Linked DNA regions of Lepisosteus oculatus. The protein of the gene in region 2 purifies or fractionates together with the protein of the main gene of each other region. This does not show direct contact. Links are inferred from orthologs where the notes say so. Each region holds a gene or a part of one and is shown on either strand. Other genes may lie near its edges. The genes, in order: slf1, SMC5-SMC6 complex localization factor protein 2 and smc5.

Region 1 (7,479 bases), on a different chromosome or scaffold from region 2:
TTACAATCACTGCAAAGAAGGTGCAATGACTATAAAAAGAGGCAATTGAGGGCGAGGATAAAATTAAAAAGTCAAAAATACATTGCAATATCAGAACAAATTAGGTCAGCTATCAGATCTAACCTTCAGCTGCTATTATTCTAATCAACTGAGTGATAGGTACAGCGTAGCCTTCCATCATTTTAGATTAAAATTCAACTCAATGAAGCTGGCCAGAATCAAAGACCCGAAAGCAAAAAAGTTTGTCACACGCGAAAATCATATTGACGGACGAGCATTTTAATGAAGGGGGTTTCCTCGAGATCCGCTGCCCTCTGCTCCAGGTGTGGTGTAAAGAGAGTGGACGCATGCTTCCTAAAGCTGAGCCAACAGGGCACTGCACCTTTCTCAACCGCGCAGAACAGAACTGTTTTAGAAGACCCACTGCCGATCAGCCGCTTGTTAAACACGACCAAGTGCTTAATCAGAGGTGCAGAATGTCGATCACCGACAGCCATCACTCCTTCTTCTCTGAAAGACCTAACTGAGCTCGTCATTCCCTGACTTCAGGGTGCTGGTCCCGCTGGGAATGTGGGAATGTGGGTTGGACGGTCGTTCCCTTTCCCTTGACAGCTGATTACTGTCTCAGCTGATCCCCCCCAGCTGGTCATTCAAGGAGAACTGGAAGTGCTGCAGAGACACCAGCACTCCGGGAGCAGGACTGGACACAAACCCCAACTCACCGATCCACCAGCGTATATCCCGCCCAGACTGGAAATGCACTTCAGCAAACTCCTCTTCGTCTCTGCGTTTCGGATTCCAGAGATCTGGAAAACGCGTTCCGGCTCGGCAGCCATTCTAGAGAGACAACACATTCCTTGACATCTCTCAACCCCGTTTCTGCAGACTGAAGCTGGTGAGAAAGAGGGAATTAAAACTTTTCACCTCCCCCATGAACTTCACTGTATTTTTATTGTGTTACAATAAAGAATCATAATATATTTAACCGGGAGCTTTCGCCACTGATCGAGAGAAAACACTCTGTAATGTCAAAGGGAAAACGAAATTCTACAAATCCTCCTAAATTAATGATCAATATTTAAAAAAGAAAATAACTGATCACATACTGTACAGTATTCACCCCCTTTTTATCAGTATGTGGGAGAGGCATGCTTGGCAGAAATCACGGTAATGGGTCTGCTTGCTTCAGTTTATCGGCACACTGGGACACCGCAGTTTTTGCCCACTCTACTTTGCAAAATTGCTCAGACTCCCTCAGGTTGGATGGGAAAAAGTTGATGAACAGGAATTTTTCAACTCCTGCCACGGATGCTTGACTGGATTGGGGTCCGGGCTTTGACTTTCCAAGCCACTCCAAAGCTTGGCCTCGGCCGTATGTTTTGGGTCGGTCCAGTGTCCCTTGCAGACTGTCGCAGGTTTTCCTCCAAGATTTCTCTGTACTTTCCGCATCCATTTTTCCTTCTAACGTCACAATTCTTCCAGGCCCTGATGCAGTGACAAGGCACCCATGTCATATGCACAGTTTCTCCCATCTCAGCCATGGAAGACTCTAACTCCTTTAGAAGTGTCACAGGCCTCTTGATGGCCTCACTGACTAGTGCTCTTCTCACACAGATACTCAGTTTTTGAGGACACTCTGTTTCACAGTTGTGCCATATTGTCTACATTTCTTTAGAATGGACTTTATTGTGCTTTGGGGGATATAATGTAATGCCTTGGAAATTTTCTTATACCCTTCCCCTGACTGGAGCTTTTCAATAACCCTCTCCATGACTTACTGTGAAAGCTCCTTTGTCTTCATGATGTAACTTGTGTTGGGAGCTGTAATAATGAACCGTGGGACCTCCCAGAGACGTGTTCAGTTACACTTATCCTGAACGCATGTGAAACACCCTTACTGCGCGCTGGTGGACCCCATCCAACAAATGATGTGACTGGTAAAGACATCTGTCGGCGACACCAGAGCCCACTTAGGCGTGTCATAGTGAAGGAGGGTGAATATTTATGCAAATGCTTATTTTCTGCTTTGTATTTATAACTGATTAAGTAGGATCTGTTCTCACATTCGTTTCCACTTTGACATTATAGCGTGTTTTGTGTTGATCAATGGCAAAAAGCCCCAAATAAATACATTGGGCGTCTATTAATGTGAAAAGGTCCAAGGGGGGGTGAATATAGTACGTTTGCTAGCCGTTTCAAGGTTGTTTCGATCTGGCCTGGAGGAAAACCAATATTAAGATGCTGTACTATTTTCTGTCTTAGAAACACGAACCCCAAGCTTATCAAAAAATGGCAAGTTCTCCTTTCCTTTCAAAACATATTTAAAAAAAAAAGAAAAGACGCCTTTAAAACCATAAGGCTCGCACCTTTTATTCCTCTTCTCCCCGTTGTGAATTAGTTATCCGTGTCTCCTGGACACCCGGCAGAGGTTTACCCCGCAGGGAGAAACCCCACGGTCACTCACCCACACGGGGGGTGAGACGTGAAACTCCTCCAGGTGTTCGGAGCAGGCGACCGCGCTGGCGGAACCGAAACCAAAACAAAAAAAAAATCAAAACAAAAGACACGGAGTCACAGCAGCTGTGACGGGGAGTCCAGAGCCTCACGCCAAAAAGTGAACCACATCACACCGTTCCCACTGCCAGAATTACACAGGGCGCCCGCTGTAGAATAAGTGACACGAGTTTAATAACGCAGTATTTTTAGGGCCGTGACGTACCTTGCAGACCGCTCACATCCCCACCCCTGCCAGCGCCGCTCATTTTAGCGCCAAAAGGTTTCAGACCGCCAGCACGCGCCCGGCCGGGGGCGTACCATCCCTGTACGAGCAGGGGTGGGCCGCCAGAACACCACCCGCAAGGTGACCCCACCATCCACCAAAACAAGTGGCGCGGAAGTGGAATCTGTCTCGAAGAGCTCGCGAATAGCATCAGCCGTGGGGAGGGGGGGGGGGAAGAAAGCTTCTTTCCAGTCACGCACCCGCACCAACCTTTCGCACCCCCAAACACAGACACCCCTGCCGCTTGCGAATGCTCCAGTCTCACCGGTCTCGTGGGGACGATCGGGCGGACTGTTTCACTTCCATAACAGGGGTGAACACGGGCATGTGTCGGCTCCGAACACCGGGATTGACTTTAGATTCAATGTTATGTACATTTTACCAAATATACTTTAATTTTTAAGACGTCACATATATATTGTATTAGTTGATGAATGTTTATGTCTCTGAAATATAATTCGTCGGACCACCTCAAACACCCAGAAAACCGTGATGTGCTAGTCCTCTGCGGCGGAAGTTGATGGTTGTTTCTTCCGGTTGGTTGTTAGAGACGCTCTTAGGCTGTGAGAGGAGTGAGGGTTTCACTTTCATGATGCGGGAAATTAATTTCAATCTGTGTTGCCCGTTGTGGGTCCTGGTACGCTCATTCAGTGTTTCTAGCTGAAACGGAATCCTTTTTGTAAACGCACACGGATGCCTCATAAGCATTTTTTAGTACTGTTTCCAAAAAACGTAAATAAACATTTGACGATAGCCTAGACGCTGGACATAAAACTGTTCAAAGCCACGTCTAAACAACATACAGTATGTGTGTTTTTTTATGATCTCGCTCGGATTTATTGGCGGATATTTTAACAAACGACAACTACAAAATACTGGGGTCGTCGTTTTGATTGGCACCTGCAATAAGTCTATCAGAGAACCGTTGAATGTGTTTTCAAAACTTGGAAAAACATACCTCACCAAAAAATACTGACGACCTCGCACTATAAACAAATGTAAATTAATTTTATTACTATCATATTTATTGCAACTGTTAAATAGGTGGAGCAATGTATGCTCTTGTAACGATAGTTTCAGAATAAAGGAAAGGTCTCAGTAAATTGATAAAGGAATGATTCATTTATTTTGCAATGTGGTTTGAACTCGTGAGTACCAGGGAAACTGGACATTTGTCGCGGTTTGAACCACCGTTCAGTAAGCTGTCAGACACTTTAAGATGATACTGCATTGGCGGTTCCCTTGAGTATTAGACGAGTCTTTCACTCTATGACCCCAGTTTAAAAGTGTGTTTTAAACAGTCATCCATCTCGTCCACAGGCAGTGGGAAGGAAGTCCCGGGACTCGGCCGTTTGACTCAAGGTACTGTGTTCTCTCTGTGCTCCTTGTCTGCTTTTCTACACGTAGTTGCATTGAATACTGTACTAGAAGCGATCAGTCTCTCGGATACAGAAAGCTGACTCACTGCTGTTGGACTCTTCCATCTGTTTAGCCCCCCCCCCATTAAACGACAGGGAGTTGTTTCTAAAGGCCTTAAAATGACAGTTCCTAGACCCCCCCCCCCCCATTTTCTGCCCTCAAAAGATATGTTATCAGAGTGTCTGTTCACACTTAAAGCCCAATAAATGTGCCCTACAGTTTGACAATCCTTTTCTGTTAAGTATTCCTTTGAAAAAGAAAAGCAAGGATCCATCCACCTCTTTCCAAGACAACGTCAACAATCCAGAAATGGATTTTATGACGATTCTGTAGCATAAATAACCTTTAAACAATGAAAAATGGCATTTCTGCTATTTGAATGGAAAACGGAGATAGAGCTCAGGCTTTGACCTCTTCTGATGGGAGGACTCTATCCCAGATTGGTTTGTTATTTTCTTGCTTGAGCTGGGCTGGTTCACAGCAGAGGAAGTGTTCTGAAAATTCAGCCTTTGATGAAGTAAAATATTAACATATTATTTGCATGGTAATACATGTCCTATCTAATTTTTTTAAGGATGTTTCTTCTGTTTTTTTTGGAAGATTTTTTTTATAACAGCGTGTAATGGGCAGCTTTCACCAAAGGTAATAGAATAGAACTTGAAAATTGCACAAGCTTACAACGTGCACAAACAGAAGACTTGAGATAAGTTTGAGTTACATGTGGTTTCACTGTGTATTGTGTGTGTATTCAGTTCACTTAATGCTTGTGCCACCTGTGTTCTACATAGAACACCAGAGCATTCAATTCTGTTGCATTGGCTATGTCTTAGGAAATCTCTACCAGTGTATAAAGACCAGCATAATGGAAGTAAAAAAAAAACTTTTGTTTTTTAAAAAAAGAGGTCTTTAATAAATTGCAGACCTTTGAAATACCTAAAATGTTAGTCTACTCTAATAGTAGTAATAGTAGTAAATGTGCAAACTTGGGGTAAATAATGTCAAGTTGTATGGCATATAATTTAAAGAATCATATTGCTGAACTTCAGAGACGTTTTCAGGAAACACTTGCGTGAGAGGTTTCTCTTGCCCTCTCTGACTGAAACCAGCCTGTTCGCCCTGTGGCCAGAGAAGTTTCAAGGATTTTATTGCACAGCTCTAATTATTAACAGTTTTAAGTGCACAAAGTCAATGCCACATTCTTGAATACTACACAAAATAAAAAGATAAGGCGCTCATTTAAAATCCTTTTAGCAATTAACCTCCACTGTATGCCAAAGACTTTTCTTTTTCTCATAAGAAATATTCACAATTAGCTGTGTTTAACCTTTAACCTACGCTAAACTATGGTATATTCATCAGAAGAAACAGAGATTAATAAATTAAATAGTTTTATTGAAAATCAGCTGGACTTCAAGCACAATTAAGTGAAATACTCAATTTCATTTTTTTAAAATTAGTTCTGTAGCTGTAAGGTGATGGCCTTTGTTATGAATAAAAACTAATGTTTAAACTGGGATCATCACACAAATAGCTATTTTCATTTATAGCGAATAGGAATGAAAGGAGAGTTGCTAGGATTTAAGCTAACTGTTTTCATGATTAAACTGCCTACAGTTTCTCTAAATGCACAGTTTACAATCTGCAGACCTTCTAATTGTAACAGGCTGTCATTGTCTCACCATGGTTGTTACTTTTTAATCTGAAATATATTTTGAGTTATACATTCAGTATATGCATATTTGAATTATGGATTAATTCAAAACCTGTTTAAAGAAACAAAGTATTCATTAAAATTACAGTATATGTTCAAATGTACTTGCATCTTCAATGACTATAATAGTGTCTATCATTCTTGGCTTTGCTTATGCATCTTTTTTTTAAATTAACAAAATATTGATGTAAATTTAATCAAAGGTTTTTGCCTATGTTTTAAAAAAATGCTGCACATCTGCACTGTTAGAACAGGCTGCTAAATATTTTACAAGTTCCTCATTATTACAAGAACAGTATAGGTGGTATGTATGTGAGAGACGAGATGAGCTCGTTTCACTTGATGTGGTAACTGCCGTGTGAATAAATACGTCTTCCCTGTGTGGCAGCTTTCAAAAACTCTGAAGTTTTCACATTTGTTTTCAAAATAAATAATGAAAAAAAAATCTAGTCCGCCTTGTCCTAATTAGGGTTTTGCAGTGACAGTAAAAACTTGACACTTTATCATTGCTTTCGCTTACTTCAGACACATGCAGTGATGTGCAGCCTTTTGTGTAACATATTTCCTTTTTCTCCTTTTGCTCCATAATTACATCGTTGGCTTTCTAATCCCACAAATGAAACCCTGCACATTGCAGCAGGTCCCTTTATAAACTGGCTGCCTGATAGAGGGGCTGGTGGGGGGAGAGAAGAGGAAATAATACAAATACAAGCTTAACTGTAGAGATTGTCAAGTGAGGAAATAATATTTGTCCAGCTGGACAGCTTTCTTTTGTACGGGGTAAATGAATGTTGAGATTCTGTCTTCGAGCTGAAGGCTTTTGTGTCAGGAAGGTATCGCAGGCTGTTTGTAGTTTGACAGGGATTATTAAAATCAGGGGAGATGAAGGGAAGGGAGTGTGAGAAAGTGAAATTGACACTGACACTCTCCATTATAGTCCACTTGACTCATGATGACTGTGTTGATATCATAGATCCCCCAGTGCTGGATTTGCTGTTAGGATATGTTAAGTATCAAGTACTAAAGAATACAGCAGCAGAGGGGGATTGTTTATTTAAAATGAGAATGAAGATCCCTTTTCTGTTAACTCATTACCGTCCTGCAGTCCTTCACCGAGTCTATGCATTTATGATCAGTCCTTGCTTCGCACAGTGCCTCGGCCTGTCTCAAGACAGAAAAAATAAAGGAATAAAACACTCACTCCACACAGGTGTTGGTGTAAAGTCAGACAGATGATACAGTGGATGTATAATCTGCGATCTGCCCATAGGGAAATCAAATAACTGTCTCTGAGATGTCGTAATTTTATGTTTATGTATAACAGAATAAAATAATCCGTTTATTTTTTCATTGAAATGATTCCTGGAATGTGACTGAGTCATTTCACATTTGCCAATAAGGGGAAAATGTGGATGTTCTGGGAAGCCAGGCTTGCGATGTGTGTTGTGCTTGCTTCCAGCTGTCAGAGATGGAGTGGCAGGGAGAGTTCCTTCAAGACCACTGCTTTGCAGGCTGCGTGTTCAGTGGCGTGCCGGGGGACCTGGAGATCCAGCAAGCGCTGCAGGATACC
Region 2 (7,256 bases):
TGAGACTTAAGCTCTTTGTATTCCTTATCAAGTAAGTGTATAAAAGGTCAGCCGTAACTTTTATTGTTGGAACCATCTTCCTAATTGAGAGGAGGGTGCTTCTCTTTGGCTAAATATACAATAAACTCCTCTTCTGCTCAGCAAAAAGGTCTCCAGGGGATTTTTATTCTACACTAGTAAGGAACTCGTCCTCCACCACGAAATGCATAACTCAAGCAGATGTAGAGAGCCCAGCCAAGGTTATTCAGCATCCCTAAACCTCCCGATAAACATTTAATATCAGAACCTTCCGCCAAAGTAATACAGCACATTTCTTATTCCTGAACAAAAACTCTAGCTCATTACTTAAGATGAATAAAGCGGAGATTCTTGGGAGTCAGAAATAACTTAGAATTTCCCATTGTTTGTCAATTGTATGTTAAAAGGATTCTGAACCAGCAAACATAGCGTTCTGTCACAACAGTCACTTCTGCACCCATATGGAGAGGAGGAACAGCAGACAAGACTCCCTCCAGCCCCTCTTTCATCCTCAGACTCAGTACACACTCCGATCCCGAAGTAGAGCAGGTTCGTCACTGACAGCAACCCTCACCGACTCCACCACCAGCCCGCAGGTGACCGGGAAGATGCAGCGATCGCTGGAGCCCCAGGACTTGGCCGGCCAATCCCAATCCAAACCCCAGCAGCGTTCTCCCAAACATGTGCTTCCACAAGGGGGATAACTGATCACAACAAGGCGACATAAGCCTGGCTTGCACCCTCACCACCTGGATCCCAGTACTTTACTCATTTGTATCTTTTTGTGCTGAGCACCTCAACAGGTTCGCTCTGTGGCTATGAGGCTGACAAAACGAATAACAAAACCAAAAAAGGCTGCTGGGTCAGTCCTCTAACGTGTTACCTGAATATTTCTTCACCTCGGTGCCAAGCACAAACCTGTGCACAAACCCCTCCCCATCCCAGCTGCGGTCGGCTCTGCTGCTGAGCAATATTTTGAACTAGCTCCAAAGAGAAAACTCATTTTCAGAGAAATGAAACTCCAACCCCGCCAAAGACTCCTGCTTAAAGGCGGCTATTTCCCAATAGGACCAGTCAAAGTATAACGCCAAGGCCAGCTCCTCACATAAAGTCATAACCAGGCTCTCTGCCGAACCCAGAGGGTACAAGTTGTACACTTGCTCAAGAATCACAAAGCTAATTTTCTATCAAAGCATTTCAGCGATTATTCTGCCATGTATCCAAATCAGCCACCTTCAGACCTGTTTCCTCCCAGTGGCATCAAGTGAAGGCTAAAAGCTCAAGATGGGCAAATAACCATATCAGCCTAACCACAGCCACCAAAGATCACATCTGCAGAAGGACCAGACCAGCACCCCGATTTATATACACAGCTGATTTTACATCAGTAAAGGTCTACACAGACAGGCGTGGTATTTTCCTGTGTGCGTTTATATGGTGCTGAAGATGATGGAGGGTAGCCTGGCAGTGCAGTGGGTTGCACTGCTGCCTGACAGCGCTGGAGCCCTTGGCTCAGTTCCTGGGCTGCTATCTGTGTGGAGTTTGTATGTTCTCCCTGTGTTTGAGTGGATTTCCTCCCACAGTCCAAATACACAGGTCACAGGTAAATTAGCTTCTGGGAAAACTGGCCCTGGTGTGAGTGTATGCGTGTGCGTGCCCTGCGAAAGATGTGTGTGTACCCACTGTTTGCTGGGATAGACTCCAGATAACCTGTGACCCCGGATTGGAAAAAGCAGCAAGAAAATGGATGGGTGAAGGGGACAGACTGGGATTAAGCCACTATGTTGTCAAATTCTGTTCTCCTTATCAGCGGAAATATATCAGCCCATAAAATAGCTAGTCACCCGACTCATTTATAAGTGCAACCTACCCTCCAAGACATCTCTGATAAAGTTGAACATCTCTAAGTTGGCAACAGAGACAGAGCTTAACAACAAAAACTTCACTCATTTTAAAACAGCAGCAGAAAACATGCTATCAGCAGTAAACAAGGTGACTTAAGACAAGACCACGACAACTAACAGGTAGCTCATCACACAACTCATCACAAAAATAAAGTTTGCTATGGCACAGTGCTGTGACAGCACTACTGGCTCACAGATCTGGACTTTGGGTACTTTCTGTGTTAAGTTTCTACACATATACGCACGGATTTTCTCAACTTTCAAAAACATGCTGGCAGGATCACTGTCTCCCTACATACTGTGTGTATCCTGAGAAGGTCTGGTGACCTGGCCAGGGTATTCTCTCCTGCTGGCACCCCGTGACTCAGAGATAGGTTTCGGTTTGGCGAGAGTTTGGAGCGCCGCCTGTACTGAACTGAACTGGAAGGACCGGAGCCCCCTGTCCCGCGCGACACGGGGGGCCCTGCCGGGACAATAACCAGTAAGTGTGGAAAAACGACAAGCAGTCAGGATATGCGCAGTGGCACCTCATAGACAAAGCATCAAGTGATCAAGCGCACACACCACACACCCCCCACCGAGACAGTCACAAGCTAAGCTGGTCAGGATGATCAACTGTGAATGGGTTGTGCTCCGCAGCCAAAAACGACCCACTGTCGCCATTCGAAACGCAACGCAAAAGCAGATTTCCCAGCTGAAATCACACGAGGATAACGGTGTCCATCCGGGCAGCACACTACTTTACTTCTGACTTCTCCTGGCGGGAGAACAGCCTCACACCGGCCAACCACCGCCAACCGGTGCTTCAACTTGCAGTGGGGTACATGTAGGACTACACCCTAAACACGGAACAGCAGCTTTTTCAGAAACAGCACCGCTGTCCAAGTCAGCAAAGGTCAGCTCGCAAGTCATGGACGAGAAAAAAGAAGAAACGCTCGGTCTATTTAACTTGTTATGGCCAGCGTGAATGCTTTCCAACAACTACACAACAGACGCAGCTCAGTTGTGCCGCAAAGCTTCCGTTGCTACTCCACACATTTCAGTGCTGAAACGACTTACCCTCCAGTTTGCCCCAGCGGCTTTCTCTCTTTCATTGTGGGGGGGAAAAAGGAGTTAGAAAACTCCTGTACCCATTCCGAGTCTCGGTTCTTTCTCTCAAAAATGAATTAACCCCTCTCCCGCCCTCAATTCACCGCTCTCTGGACAGCCCCGCAGCCGCCATATTTTCGGTGCTGGTTTCGAGCCGGTGACGTAAGAGATCTGGGCAAATGGAGAGCTGACAGCCGCGCTCACGTCGCGCGGGACTGGCGCAGCTTCTGCGCAAAACCCGCCCGAGAGTCTTCGGAAGTGACGTCACTGGCTCTCGCAGCCTCGAGCGGTCAAAGTCTACGCAGACATGTAAAACTTCAGATGTGAGGACTTTGATGTTTTGTTTTGTAAGGTGTACCACCGGAAATGTATTCATAATAAATCTGTTATTAAAAATTGGTAGATACATATCATATGCACGAAACATTTGATCCGGTGCTACCTCCCTCTTTTAATGTCCATAAGGAGGAAATTCAGTATTATCTAAACTCGATTATACATGAAAACTAAGGCAAAAAGAACAAAGATATCATGTTATTTAATGAGTTCGGATTTGTAATTTGTGATTGGGAATCCTGTTGTTCCGAGGCTCTATTGGTCAAATTTCTTTCTGGGTACTGGAAAATCCTTATTCGTATAGATGGATACTCAATAGAGCTGGAGGGAAAACAGTCCGCGCAGATGACGCATCTCCTGGGGGGGCAGTGCGCTGGAACAGCCTCTCATGCCAAACAACTCAGGAGACTTAACTTACAAAGAGGTGTGTAGGCAGCCAGATACGAAACCTCAATCCAGGCGCTACTGCCACCTACTGCAGGGGGTAGGAATTACTTTCAATTCCCGTGAGGTTCTCTTCGCTATTCAAGGTGAAAAGAGTTCAGTTCCTTCTGGCTTCCTATCAGACTGTCAGCGTGGGACAGGGCCTTCAGCCCCAGTATCTGGTTGCTTCTTTCTGGACTGATGCTGGAACAGCGATATATTTTCTATAATATGGCGACCAAAATTGTACACAATATTCTAAATTACATTTCACTAGTACTGATACAGTTTTAACACATTTAAATTCTATGCTTTTAACTGTATACCTTAACATGTTTTTCTTTTTTTTCTTTCTCCACATTGTGTGGAAGAAGTAACTGATGTGTTTTTAATAAGTTGTCTCTTCTGTTTCATTGTTTCCCTTTTTTTATTTACAGTGTATGTTTTTACTACCTGCATGTGAAACCCTGCACTTGTCTCCATTAAAAATAATCTGACAGGTGTTGGCCCAGTCTTGAATTTTATCAAAGTCTTTTTTTATTGAATTTGGGGCTTGACAGTTGTTTTTACTATATTACATTCACCTGGGTCTAACATAACCACTGAAATAAAATGAAAGGCCTTGATTAAAATTCCAACACAGTATAAGGAAGAAATTAATGTGAAGAGTAATTGTTTTTTATTAGATATTGGCTAGAGCTGAGATAATTAATAACAATTCCTTACACTTATATAGCGCTTTTCTGAATACCCCACTCAGGAAATGGGGATCCCCTCCACTACTACCAGTGTGCAGCCCCACCTGGATGATGCAACAGCAGCCATAGTGCGCCAGTACACTCACCACACATCAGCTATCAGTGGGGAGGAGAACAGAGTGACAAAGCCAGTTCAGAGATGGGGATTATTAGGAGACCAGAGGGGAATTTGGGTAGGACACCAGGGTGACAACCCCTACTCTTTTCGAGAAATCTTTAATGACCACAGAGAGTCGGGACCTCAGTTTTATGTCTCATCCGAAGTACGGTGCCTTTTTAAAATATAGAGTCCCCATCACTATACTGTGAAATTAGGACCCACATAGACCACAACTTATTGCTGAATATGTATATAAATATGCACATGATTACAAAAAAGCACCAGCACAATTATAATGGAAAAGTAATTGTACTTGCCAACAACAGTTACTGACCATAAGGGGAAATTGTTGCATGTGTGTTAATATGAAAAGAACAATAGTGCTACAGTTAATGTTTCCTGAAATTTGAGGAGGTGGCGCCCTTGTGGTTGTAGTAAGGATAAGGAAAGATTCTAGATAAAAATAAATGAATTAATTATTGTAAAGAAGCAGTGAATCTTTCAAGAGGTCTTAATGTTTCGGTCATTAAGTTAGGCCATTGGTTAATGGAGATGTTTGGCCTGTGCTTCTAGATGGTATTATTAGTTTTAAGGTGTGACCGACATAAAAACTGAGAATTGCTGAAGTTAATAGAAGAAATACCTTCAACTAAACATACAACAAGGAGACAGGAATGTTACAGCCCAAGATGACAGATGTCTCAAATATTCTCCTGAAACTGGATAATTGTTGGCCAATACCAAAAGACAAGAAAGCAGCTATCCAATACATTGTGAGCAGATAGCTACTCTTATTTTCATCAGGCTGGAGGATAATAGGCTTTTAGCTGTTTAATGAACTCAGTGCAAACGTTTATATTGAATGGATGACCCTTTTCCCTCAATGGAAGCAAACAGGAACAGAGTGCCGGAAACCCACATTTCCTGCAGGGTATTAACAATAATCAGCAGTTGTGTTGTACCACTGTCATGTTCAAGTAGCCTTATACACAACAGATACAGGGCTCAGAGAAAACATCCTCCGTGCAAAACTCCATTCCTATTTTTGTTTCCACTGGGGGAGGAAGGTTCACACAACCTCATAGCAATCTTTAAGAGAAATATGCTTATTTGTGCGCACCTACAAACCAGTTACTTTGCAAACTCTGGTGCTTCACTGCTTACCGGTGAGCCTCATTGGGCACTTACAGATGTCATCAGTAGCCAGACCTTAGTTAGAAACAAAATCCAGTCTTTCTGTTAGCGGGGATTAGGATTCCATTGGTAAAACCAAATATTGGATATTGGAGAAACACCATGAGTCATATTAAAAATACAAAATGAGTTAATAGCAGTTTAAAAGTAGTTTCAATGTGTCAAGCTTTTTCAACAATTCATCACTAACTAATCTTACAACAGCTCTCTAATTATTTATCCGCTATATACTTCCAACAATTGAGACGGGATGCGGACGCACACTTAAAGACAAAGTCCAAGATTCAAGATTTTGTATTTGCCATGTACAACAAGTGTATTGGGATAGTTCAGATGGGTAGCTGTGTCAGCGTGTGTAGGCCACAAAGGAACAAGCAAAGGTTTATTCCATACTGAAAAGAGGATAAAGGTGTCACCTGAAGAAGGCTCCACAGCCTTTTCCTTCTTCTCTTTTCAGCATGGAATTAACCTATTACTTCTTCAGGTGTATTGGATTGCTTACTCGTTCAGCTGTACCCAGTATCAGTAGAGAAAAAAAACCCTTGTTCAGTTTTAACCAATTTAAATGCTATTTGAAATCTACATGGAAATGCAAACATGAAGAGAAGGCCCAGAATGTCAATTACCCAAATGAATCACACCCATTACTGATTGGGAAATCACAGGTGAAATAAAACACCTCCTTTATCTGCACGTGTTGCCTACAGCTGATGTGGGAGTGGGAATTCAGGGACGTTTTTGCTTCTGTGTGGGTCTGTCTTGTTTCCGAGAACTCCACGCACTTTTTTTTTTATTGTTACACATCGATGACAGAAAATAGGTTTATCTTTGGGTGTACATTCGTTCTCTCACAGTACAATCTGTAAAACAGATGGGAGTTCTTTCAAGATCCTGAGGGATGATTCTCAGGATGGAAGCTGATAAAGATAATGGAATTCTCTCTCATTAGCTGGTATGAGTATCGAATCTCACTGGCGGAGCAGAGGAAGGCCCAGGGCTCTTCCATTCCGATCGGGTTAGTTGATGACAGGAACATTAATTTAGACCAATCAAATCTGTAACCTGCAATGTAACCAAAATTATTTATAGCACTGAAAAATATGGGTGCAAATATTATTTGTAATAGTAATATTTGATTGTTGTAAATACAGTAATATATCATCATGCATATAGAGTGGTTTTATGTCTTGTTTAGGTTTCTACACATTTAGATGGATAGCCACAGCCAAAGGTTCAATAAAGACAGAAAATAGCCACAGGGATCTTGTCTAGGTCTTCTAAATAGCCTCAAGACTTGTATAATGAATGCATTTGTTATTACAGATGGTGAATGAAAATGATGAAACATTTTAATCCATCTGATAAAGATTTTGCCAAACCCAGATGTTCTGAAACTGTTAATAAAAACACCCCTCTCACTCTGTCGAATGCTTT
Region 3 (7,839 bases), on a different chromosome or scaffold from region 2:
GTTTGTGCTAGACATAACTCATTTCATTTATACCACAAGGATCCCATTTAGTCTCGTCTGTCACAGTGGCAACCCTATCCAGATTCCCCCTCGCCTGTCTGCTCAGTTTGGAGGGACATGTTAATCAATGCAGTTTCTGGGTGGTACGATATACCTTCAAATTCTTAATGATTGACTTCATTGTGGTCAAGGTGTCCTTGAAAGTTTTTTATTCCCTTCTCTTGATCTGTGCCCTTCAATGCTTTTGTCCCTGAGTTGCTTTTAAAGCTCAAATCTACCTGACTGAGGACCTTCACAGAGACAGATGTGTTTATTCTGATATACAATACATTACCTTGAGTTGTCCCTCTGAGTCTGGTGATCCTAAGTGAGACGGGGTCAATCACACATCATGTCAGTTAATAGTATTGCTAGAGTCTTGTGAAGGTAGTCGATGAACCTTGAATCATCTAATGACTTCATGCTGCTAGGCTTCTGCGAGCAGAATTCCTCGAGTGTAAAGCCTCTCTTCTTTGCTGAGCTGTGACATTGCTGCAGTCTAATAAAATCAAGAGAACTAGTGCGCAAACACCACATTCACATGTCGCATGTCATACTCATAGTCATTCACCTTGAGTAGTTTTTTCTGTCTTATATACTGTATGTCTGTATTTATAGACAAACAATATATATGAGGTAACTACAGTATATACTGTAAATAAGACATTTGAAATTAGCATTTGAGGAGAAAATGTGCTAAAATATATCAATCTATTTACTAAGCATAGTAATTATTTAAAAATATATGCACTTGACATTATTTAAATATGCAAAGGAACAAGTAATAGGTTTATTCCATGCTGAAAAAAAGAAGAAAGAGAACACAACGTTTCGGCCGTGGAGCCTTCTTCAGGTGTCACACCTGAAGAAGGCTCCACGGCCGAAACATTGTGTTCTCTTTCTTCTTTTTTTCAGCATGGAATAAACCTATTACTTGTTCCTTTGCAGCCTACGCATGCTGACGCAGCTACCCACCTGAATTATTTAAATATTAGCATCAATCAAGGAAACAAGGTAATTGAGTTAGAAATACTAATGTATAGTATAAGTATATGACAATGTTATATATTGTAAGGAGTTTGGTGTTGTTAATGAGGTTTTCATAGCCACATGAGCTCAGTTTACTACAGTAAATGGGTTGATTTCTGTCTTATCTGCATTTACAATTGTAATCTTACTCTTAGTTTCACAAACATTAAAATATTTAACTTGATCCAGTTTTATAAAAATGTATATAACTGTTTTATAAAATTAGGTTGCTATTGCACAGTGCTTTTGGCTTACAGAAAATCACTAATAAATTATTATTATTATTGAGAACAAATGTTGTGTTTTTAAAATTAAAAAAAATACTGGGAACTACATAAGTGTCAGTTCTGTTTTTAATTTTTCTAACTTTTTTATTTTTTAACATTTACCACAAGTATGTCAACCATACAACATACTTTTTATGCCTTCATTTCATTGGCTGGCAGGCACCTCATTATTGAGTGTCACACTGCTACAAAGCCTCCTCAAGTATTTTCATTGATATCAACATTGATTGAAAATGAAGTGAAAAGTATAAGTTTTTACAAAAGAAGGCTACTGGACTCCTATTGGCTCAACTTCAAATTCACTCAGTGCTGAATAGAATAGAATTGTAAAACAAATGAATTTCTCTAAATACAAGCTTCAGATGAATGTTCCAGTGTTATTCTATTAATTATTTTTTTAGATGACATAGCTGCTGAGTTTTATAGCTAGGTGAGTCTAAATCCAACTCAGTCTTGGAGAGATCATGAGTTTTTAGGTTTTCGAGGCCTCATTAAAACAGCAGCACCTTATGTACTGGGAGTTGTTGGTCAAAGTGATCAGATTAAGCCAATAATGAGCTAGTTGAAGTTATTAAGAGCTTGGAAGGAAAGAGAACCTGTACATCATCTTTCTAGGACTGAAGTAGTGTCATCCTGCCCTAATAGATAAACTAAAAAAATACAAACAGCACACATGCTTTAAACCAGAGTTCACTTCTAGGACTCACCCACTGAAATACTTGCACATTGTAAACATCATTAAAAGGGGCAATTTAATAAATCACAAGGAAACTACAGTGCCAAAACAGTTTGGGTTCATACATTTACATCAAGTGAAATACTGTATTCTCAGCATTCATAGAAACCTTATTACACTATGTTTGTTTTTAGAAAATCCAGTATACAGATTTTGTATATTGATTAGCTGTTTTAGGCATCATTTGGAGTAATGGAGCATTCCTGACTCTGTGATTACTCTCGAGTGCCCATGACGTTGCACTTTACTTGCATAAGCAGTAAATCACCTCATGAGAGAGAGAGCTGACTGGGCGGAGGTGATGAGTTGATTTATCCAGCTAAATGTCAAATAGTGGTGAAATTCAAGAATTGCAAAACAAAGAAAGGACCCATATGGCCCACCTACCAAGAGGACAACAGCTTTTTGCCAGCAGCATGTTGCAGAGGCTTTAGGTTGGCTTGCGAACAGTGAAGCCAAGTCCCTTTTAGCAGTGAACCACAGTTTTATGTTGCCCACGCTGATGGGCACACATGCAGAATAATGGAATGCCACCAGGTGTCATGGAGTGTTCATCAGTTCCTGTTTTGGCACGGTTTCACTCATAGTGATTGATAGCTCTCCAGCCCCCTAAGAGTAACCTGACTGCACTGCCCTACATTGATAAAGGCCTGGCCTTCACCTACTCCTCCTCCTGTGGGCTCATCCTGGTATGACAACTGTCCAGCAGGAACACCCAGCTCCTCATGCTCGTGTAACAGTGACTTGCCTGAGAAGTGAGAATGTGGATCTTATGGTTTGGGTGCACTTGCCAGGCTAGAGACTAACTGGACTAACTGGACATTCGTGGGATGATCTGGGGTGACATAACATCTAGGGCTTAGAGACCAGCGAATGGGCAATGTAGTAATAACAAATGGTTATCAGCATTAAGAATTGAGCCATATTATCTCTTTTGCACCTACTACAAATTTTTCTGATCAGAACGTAGTGAATTTGAAGGTGGAAATGGTGTTTCTTTTGATTCTCATTGTAGTTCCATATACCAAACCTTTGATGGACTAAAATCTTTAATTTTCCTGTGAACATCCCTAATGCTCTACTCCCATCTAGTGGAAGAAAACAGTACTATTCTTCACTATTCTTTGTGTGGGGTCCAAAGACATACTGGTAGGTTAATTGGCTTCTGGGAAAATTTGCACTGTTACTATCTATCCCTTATCAGAAAGTCTCTCATTTCTGTGAGCCCATGCATGCAAGAAGTGCTGTTATTGTGATTTCCCCAGATCAAATATGCTCAGCACATTCTAAGCTGCTTGTTTGTCAGAGTGTCTCTAAGCTGTTAAAAGACATGTGTTTTGCACATGTTATACCAGTGAATTCTAGCCCTGGTACTGTAGGAATACTGTGTCCTCTCTCTGGCTTTTGCTCCAGTCATGTTCTAAATTACAGGCTAATTGATTTCAGTTTTCTGTTTTGGGTATATACAGTATGTACATTTGGTACTGGAATCCACACTGAACCAATGCTTGTGTTACAGAGCTACATTCTTTCAAGGTGTGCTGCTTGCGATGTAGCTGACAGAACCTCTGACTGCGGGAGTGTGTGAATTATTGTCAATCGCCTGAGTGTGATTGTTAGAAACTGATATGGTGTCAAGAGCTATCTGGTCAGAAATCTGGTTAAGCAAATTGGGTTTCAACTGTTTAATGGTCTGTTTATGCTGAGGGTGTTGGAAACAGCACTTTTCAAGTGGGGGTAGTGCTGAATGCTACTGCAGGAGCAAATAAAAAAAACTAAACAATCATGGTTATCCATTAAAGGCATCAATTAGCACTGCAGATTTAGAGTTCAGCTGGATGGAAAATCAGGAAACATGACATGTATGATATTCTGCTAAAGAGTTCAATGCAATTGTCTCTCAGCTATAAACCCAAACCTAACACAGCAGAGTGATGAAGCCAATATCTATGTATAGATGGGGATTATTTGGAGGCCATGATTGGTAATGGCCAAGGGGGTATTGGATCATGGAGCGGTGGCACTGAGGCTAAGCTGGGGTATGTGAAAAGACAAATTCCTAATGCAAGAAATTGTATTCAGCTAATAAAGTGATCTTCATATGGACACCAGAGTAACACCACTACTGCTTTCAAGAAACACCCTGGGACTTTTAATGACCAGGGAGAGTCAGGACCATTGTTTTACATCTCATCCAAAGGACAGCACCTTTTTACAGTATAATGTCCCTGTCACTATACTGGGGCATTAGGACCCACCCAGACTGCAGGTGAGTGCCCACTACTGGTTGCACCAACACCTCTTCCAGCACCAACCTTAGTTTTTCCAGTAGGTCTCACATCCAAGTACTGGCCAGGCTCACACCTGCTGAGCTTAAGTGGGCTGCCAGTTGTGAGATGCAGGGTGATATGGTTGCTGGCTAATAGGGCAATTGAAAACAGACGTGCAACTAACTGTACAGAATATACTGTAGAAAAATAAAACACCAGCTTGTTCTTCCCAGGATATGTGTTTATGTCGACCTTTGCTGCTGTCTTTGGAGACTTACAAGGTATTCTAAATCCGTCGTTACACAACGGCAGCATCACACCACGTGTCAGAAAACTCACTTTGTTTTCTACCGGTTTGTACGTCACGGTCTGCCTGGTTGAAATGCTGGGAGTATAACCAATAGCGAAGGTTTCCGGCAGGCGGGAACCTCCTGGTGCTTCCCTCGCCTGCGTCACAACGCGAGCAGTTTTTTTATTCGTCAAGATGGCGGCCTCTAACAAGAGGAAGCGAGTCAGTCACCAGTTCGCGAACAGCAACAACAGTGAAGGCGCTTCAACTTCGAGAGCAAACAATACGCTTCATTCAGTTGGAGATGACAAAAAAGACCACTTTGTTGAGGGGTCCATTGTCAGGATTTCAATGGAAAATTTCTTGTAAGTAGACGGGCGCTAAGATGCTCGAACAGCGGCACAACGCCAACTTACTGCCGCTGCGTTCTACTTTTTGAGACTTGAGTTTCGTTATGATATCAAAGAGGCGTAACGTGCACAAATAGCAATATTTTAAAAGTTGGTGCTCACATTTCATTTGGGCTTGCTAATCTCGCACCTGAGCTTAGCAGCTGAAGAAGAATCAATCGGAAGAAACGTTTTTGAAACGCGCATCATTTGGTGGTGCAGGTGCCGTTTGGTTTATGTTCTCCTAAAATAGAAAAATAAAAATACGCTGGTGTTCGAAAACAGGCAAACAAACACATTGCTGAAAGGGCTAAACAAACTAGCGAATTTATTATGTTAAACCGAAATCTTGACACTTTTATTATTATTATTATTATTATTATTATTATTATTATTATTATTATTATTATACTGCAGATGCAATGTTTCTATTCAGTGGTGTAGGTGAATTGCTCTCCGGGCTTGTAGACCCGTGAAGTCCACCTTATTTTTATTCACCTTATAGGTGAAGCAGTTTCTCTCTTCACAAGATCTGTGTTACTGTTAGGGTCCTGCTGGCGCAGAATTCCCCTTTACTGGGGAATGAAACAGGTTCTCGTATTATATATAATATGTACGTGAAGCGCTTGAACAACGGTATCCCACACAGGACTGTGTGCAGGTTTCCTCCATTGTGTCTGCATGATGTCTACACAGCTCTCGGTAGTTAATTCATGACGACGGTGCATCATCCAGGCGGGTACTGCACATGGGTGGAGGAGAGTTCCCACTGCCTGGAAAGCTCTTTTACTGGAGTGTCCAGAAAGGCGCTATATAAATGTGCAAACGCTCAGATATCCCAGATATATGTTTAATGAAACAACAAAAAAAGGCTCTCCCGGCAGAAGCGTCCCTGTGTTTACATGCGACCATGGCATTCTGGCTTCAGACAGGTGGCAAGTGTACCCTTCAGAGACTGTCTTTTACCAAAGAACAGTGTACTTTCTAAAAGGAGCAGACGTTGCCCCTTTTACCATTGTATATCTGAATGCGATGAGATGCTTTTACACTCTTTTCTGTAGTTTCATGGAGTGAAAGTCTGGTTTGACCTCTGTTATGGGTAAGTTTTGTAAAAAGGCACTTTTAAAGTGATGAAAAGGCATGGTCGGTTTTGTTGTTTTTTTTTCTTACAGAACCTATGACAGGTGTGACGTGTATCCAGGACCGAATCTGAACATGATTGTGGGAGCTAACGGCACCGGGAAATCGAGCATAGTTTGTGCCATCTGCTTGGGGCTCGCAGGAAAGACAGGATTTTTAGGAAGAGGCGATAAAGTGAGTTGTTTAGTTTCTGGATTTTCATGTTGTAGGGTATGAATTTTACGAGAGGGGGTAGTGTCCGTTTTCAGAGCCTCAGTGCTGCGGTTTTTCATGAAAATTTGGTGCCTTGAAGTCAAACGTGTCTCTCTCGGAACAGAAAGTACATCATGTAAGTCAGGCTGTCAGCCAAAGCCTTTAGCTTATGTTGAACAGAAGAGGCCTGGACCTCCTGGCATCTTCTTCAAGGCACTCTAGGAAGGGTTGGTACTTTACAGTTGTGGAGTTAGAATGAATGTCCGATTTCCCAGAACTGTAGAGTAACTCCAGAGTTCCCCACCCTGCTCCTAGTGAACCACACTCCTGCTGGTGTTCATTTCCCCTGAACCTGGATACCTACCCGGATCTTTTACTGAACCAACAAGTTGCTTGATGGCTAATGGGTAATTTTTTTTTTGCCTACCCCAAAGGTTGGGATTGTCTTTTTTTTATGAAGTGGGCCCGTTGAAAAGTGGAGAAACCCATTTCAACATGTTTAAGAACATGAAAACAGACTCGCAATTGAAATGAATTCTATTTGTAAGTCAGTTAAGGGTTCAGTGGTGTAACTGGGAGCTTGGCTTGGGCTGCTTGCACCAATAGCCCCCTGTTCGTTTCCTGTCAGGTGGTTAGAAAGGAATGTGGATTTCAGGACCACAGAGCAGCACACCGCCTTTTGATCCCTAAATTAAAGAATTTTAGTTGTCTGTTCTGTTTTTTTTTCCACTTGTAGGTGCTATTTGTATCTCAGGTGAAACAGATATTGTTCCTAAAAATTTACAAAAGTTAAAAATAAATCCCTTCTGTGAAGGAAATACATTTTTTACTCTTCATCTGTAATACGTTCATAGGGATACAAAGTCAAACTTGAAAGTTTACTTTGGACCTGGCTTTTAAAAGGGTAGGTTTAGCTCCGGCATTTCACAATCCCCATTAATTTTCTAATCTATTGTTTGTGCCCAGCAGTCTACATTTTTGTTTGTAAATTTACTTAATTGTAATAGTAAGGGTTTACTGTATATTTGTTAATTCCTAATGTAAGGCTGTTGTGCTTACAATGATTTAATAGTAATATTTGTGTTTTAGGTTGGTCTTTATGTAAAACGAGGGTGCAGCAAGGGTTCCATTGAAATTGAATTGTAAGTAAAAAGTCCTGATAGTTGATAGTAGATCCTAAAATATATGTTCTGGGCAGAAATATGAATTGCAGAATGTGCAGTTTATTTGAACTATTAAAGCATTTTCAAAAATTAACGTCCTTTTGTGGAAAGGGACACAAAAGGTAATCTGCAACTTTTCTTAAAATTGTTTAACTAAAGTATTACCCAAGCATAATGGAGTTTTTTTTGTTAAAAGTACTTCATCTTATTAAACAATTTTTTTTGTAGGTACAAGTGTGAAGGCAATCTTAAGATAAATCGAGAAATTCACGTTGAAAACAATCAGTCCACATGGATGATCAATG

The links.
Region 1: the proteins of SMC5-SMC6 complex localization factor protein 2 (region 2) and slf1 purify together in Homo sapiens (co-immunoprecipitation; 3 studies listed by BioGRID and IntAct, with this or other methods). This does not show direct contact. The link is inferred for Lepisosteus oculatus from reciprocal best matches to the Homo sapiens genes SLF2 and SLF1.
Region 3: the proteins of SMC5-SMC6 complex localization factor protein 2 (region 2) and smc5 purify together in Homo sapiens (affinity purification with mass spectrometry; 3 studies listed by BioGRID and IntAct, with this or other methods). This does not show direct contact. The link is inferred for Lepisosteus oculatus from reciprocal best matches to the Homo sapiens genes SLF2 and SMC5.

The regions. Positions count from the first base shown.
Region 1 is NC_090698.1:73,865,297-73,872,775, reverse strand, and holds the start of slf1 (SMC5-SMC6 complex localization factor protein 1), read right to left. Parts: upstream 3,026-7,479; 5' UTR 2,931-3,025; coding exon 2,720-2,930; intron 2,520-2,719; exon of another isoform or gene 2,367-2,519; intron 893-2,366; coding exon 723-892; intron 1-722. Other genes in the region: uncharacterized protein KIAA0825 homolog, read left to right, coding at 7,378-7,479. UniProt on the Homo sapiens protein: Plays a role in the DNA damage response (DDR) pathway by regulating postreplication repair of UV-damaged DNA and genomic stability maintenance.
Region 2 is NC_090699.1:45,370,129-45,377,384, reverse strand, and holds the start of SMC5-SMC6 complex localization factor protein 2, read right to left. Parts: upstream 3,027-7,256; 5' UTR 3,017-3,026; coding exon of another isoform or gene 2,982-3,016; intron 1-2,981. UniProt on the Homo sapiens protein: Plays a role in the DNA damage response (DDR) pathway by regulating postreplication repair of UV-damaged DNA and genomic stability maintenance.
Region 3 is NC_090698.1:58,127,337-58,135,175, forward strand, and holds the start of smc5 (structural maintenance of chromosomes protein 5), read left to right. Parts: upstream 1-4,823; 5' UTR 4,824-4,845; coding exon 4,846-5,015; intron 5,016-6,211; coding exon 6,212-6,353; intron 6,354-7,460; coding exon 7,461-7,513; intron 7,514-7,762; coding exon 7,763-7,839. UniProt on the Homo sapiens protein: Core component of the SMC5-SMC6 complex, a complex involved in repair of DNA double-strand breaks by homologous recombination.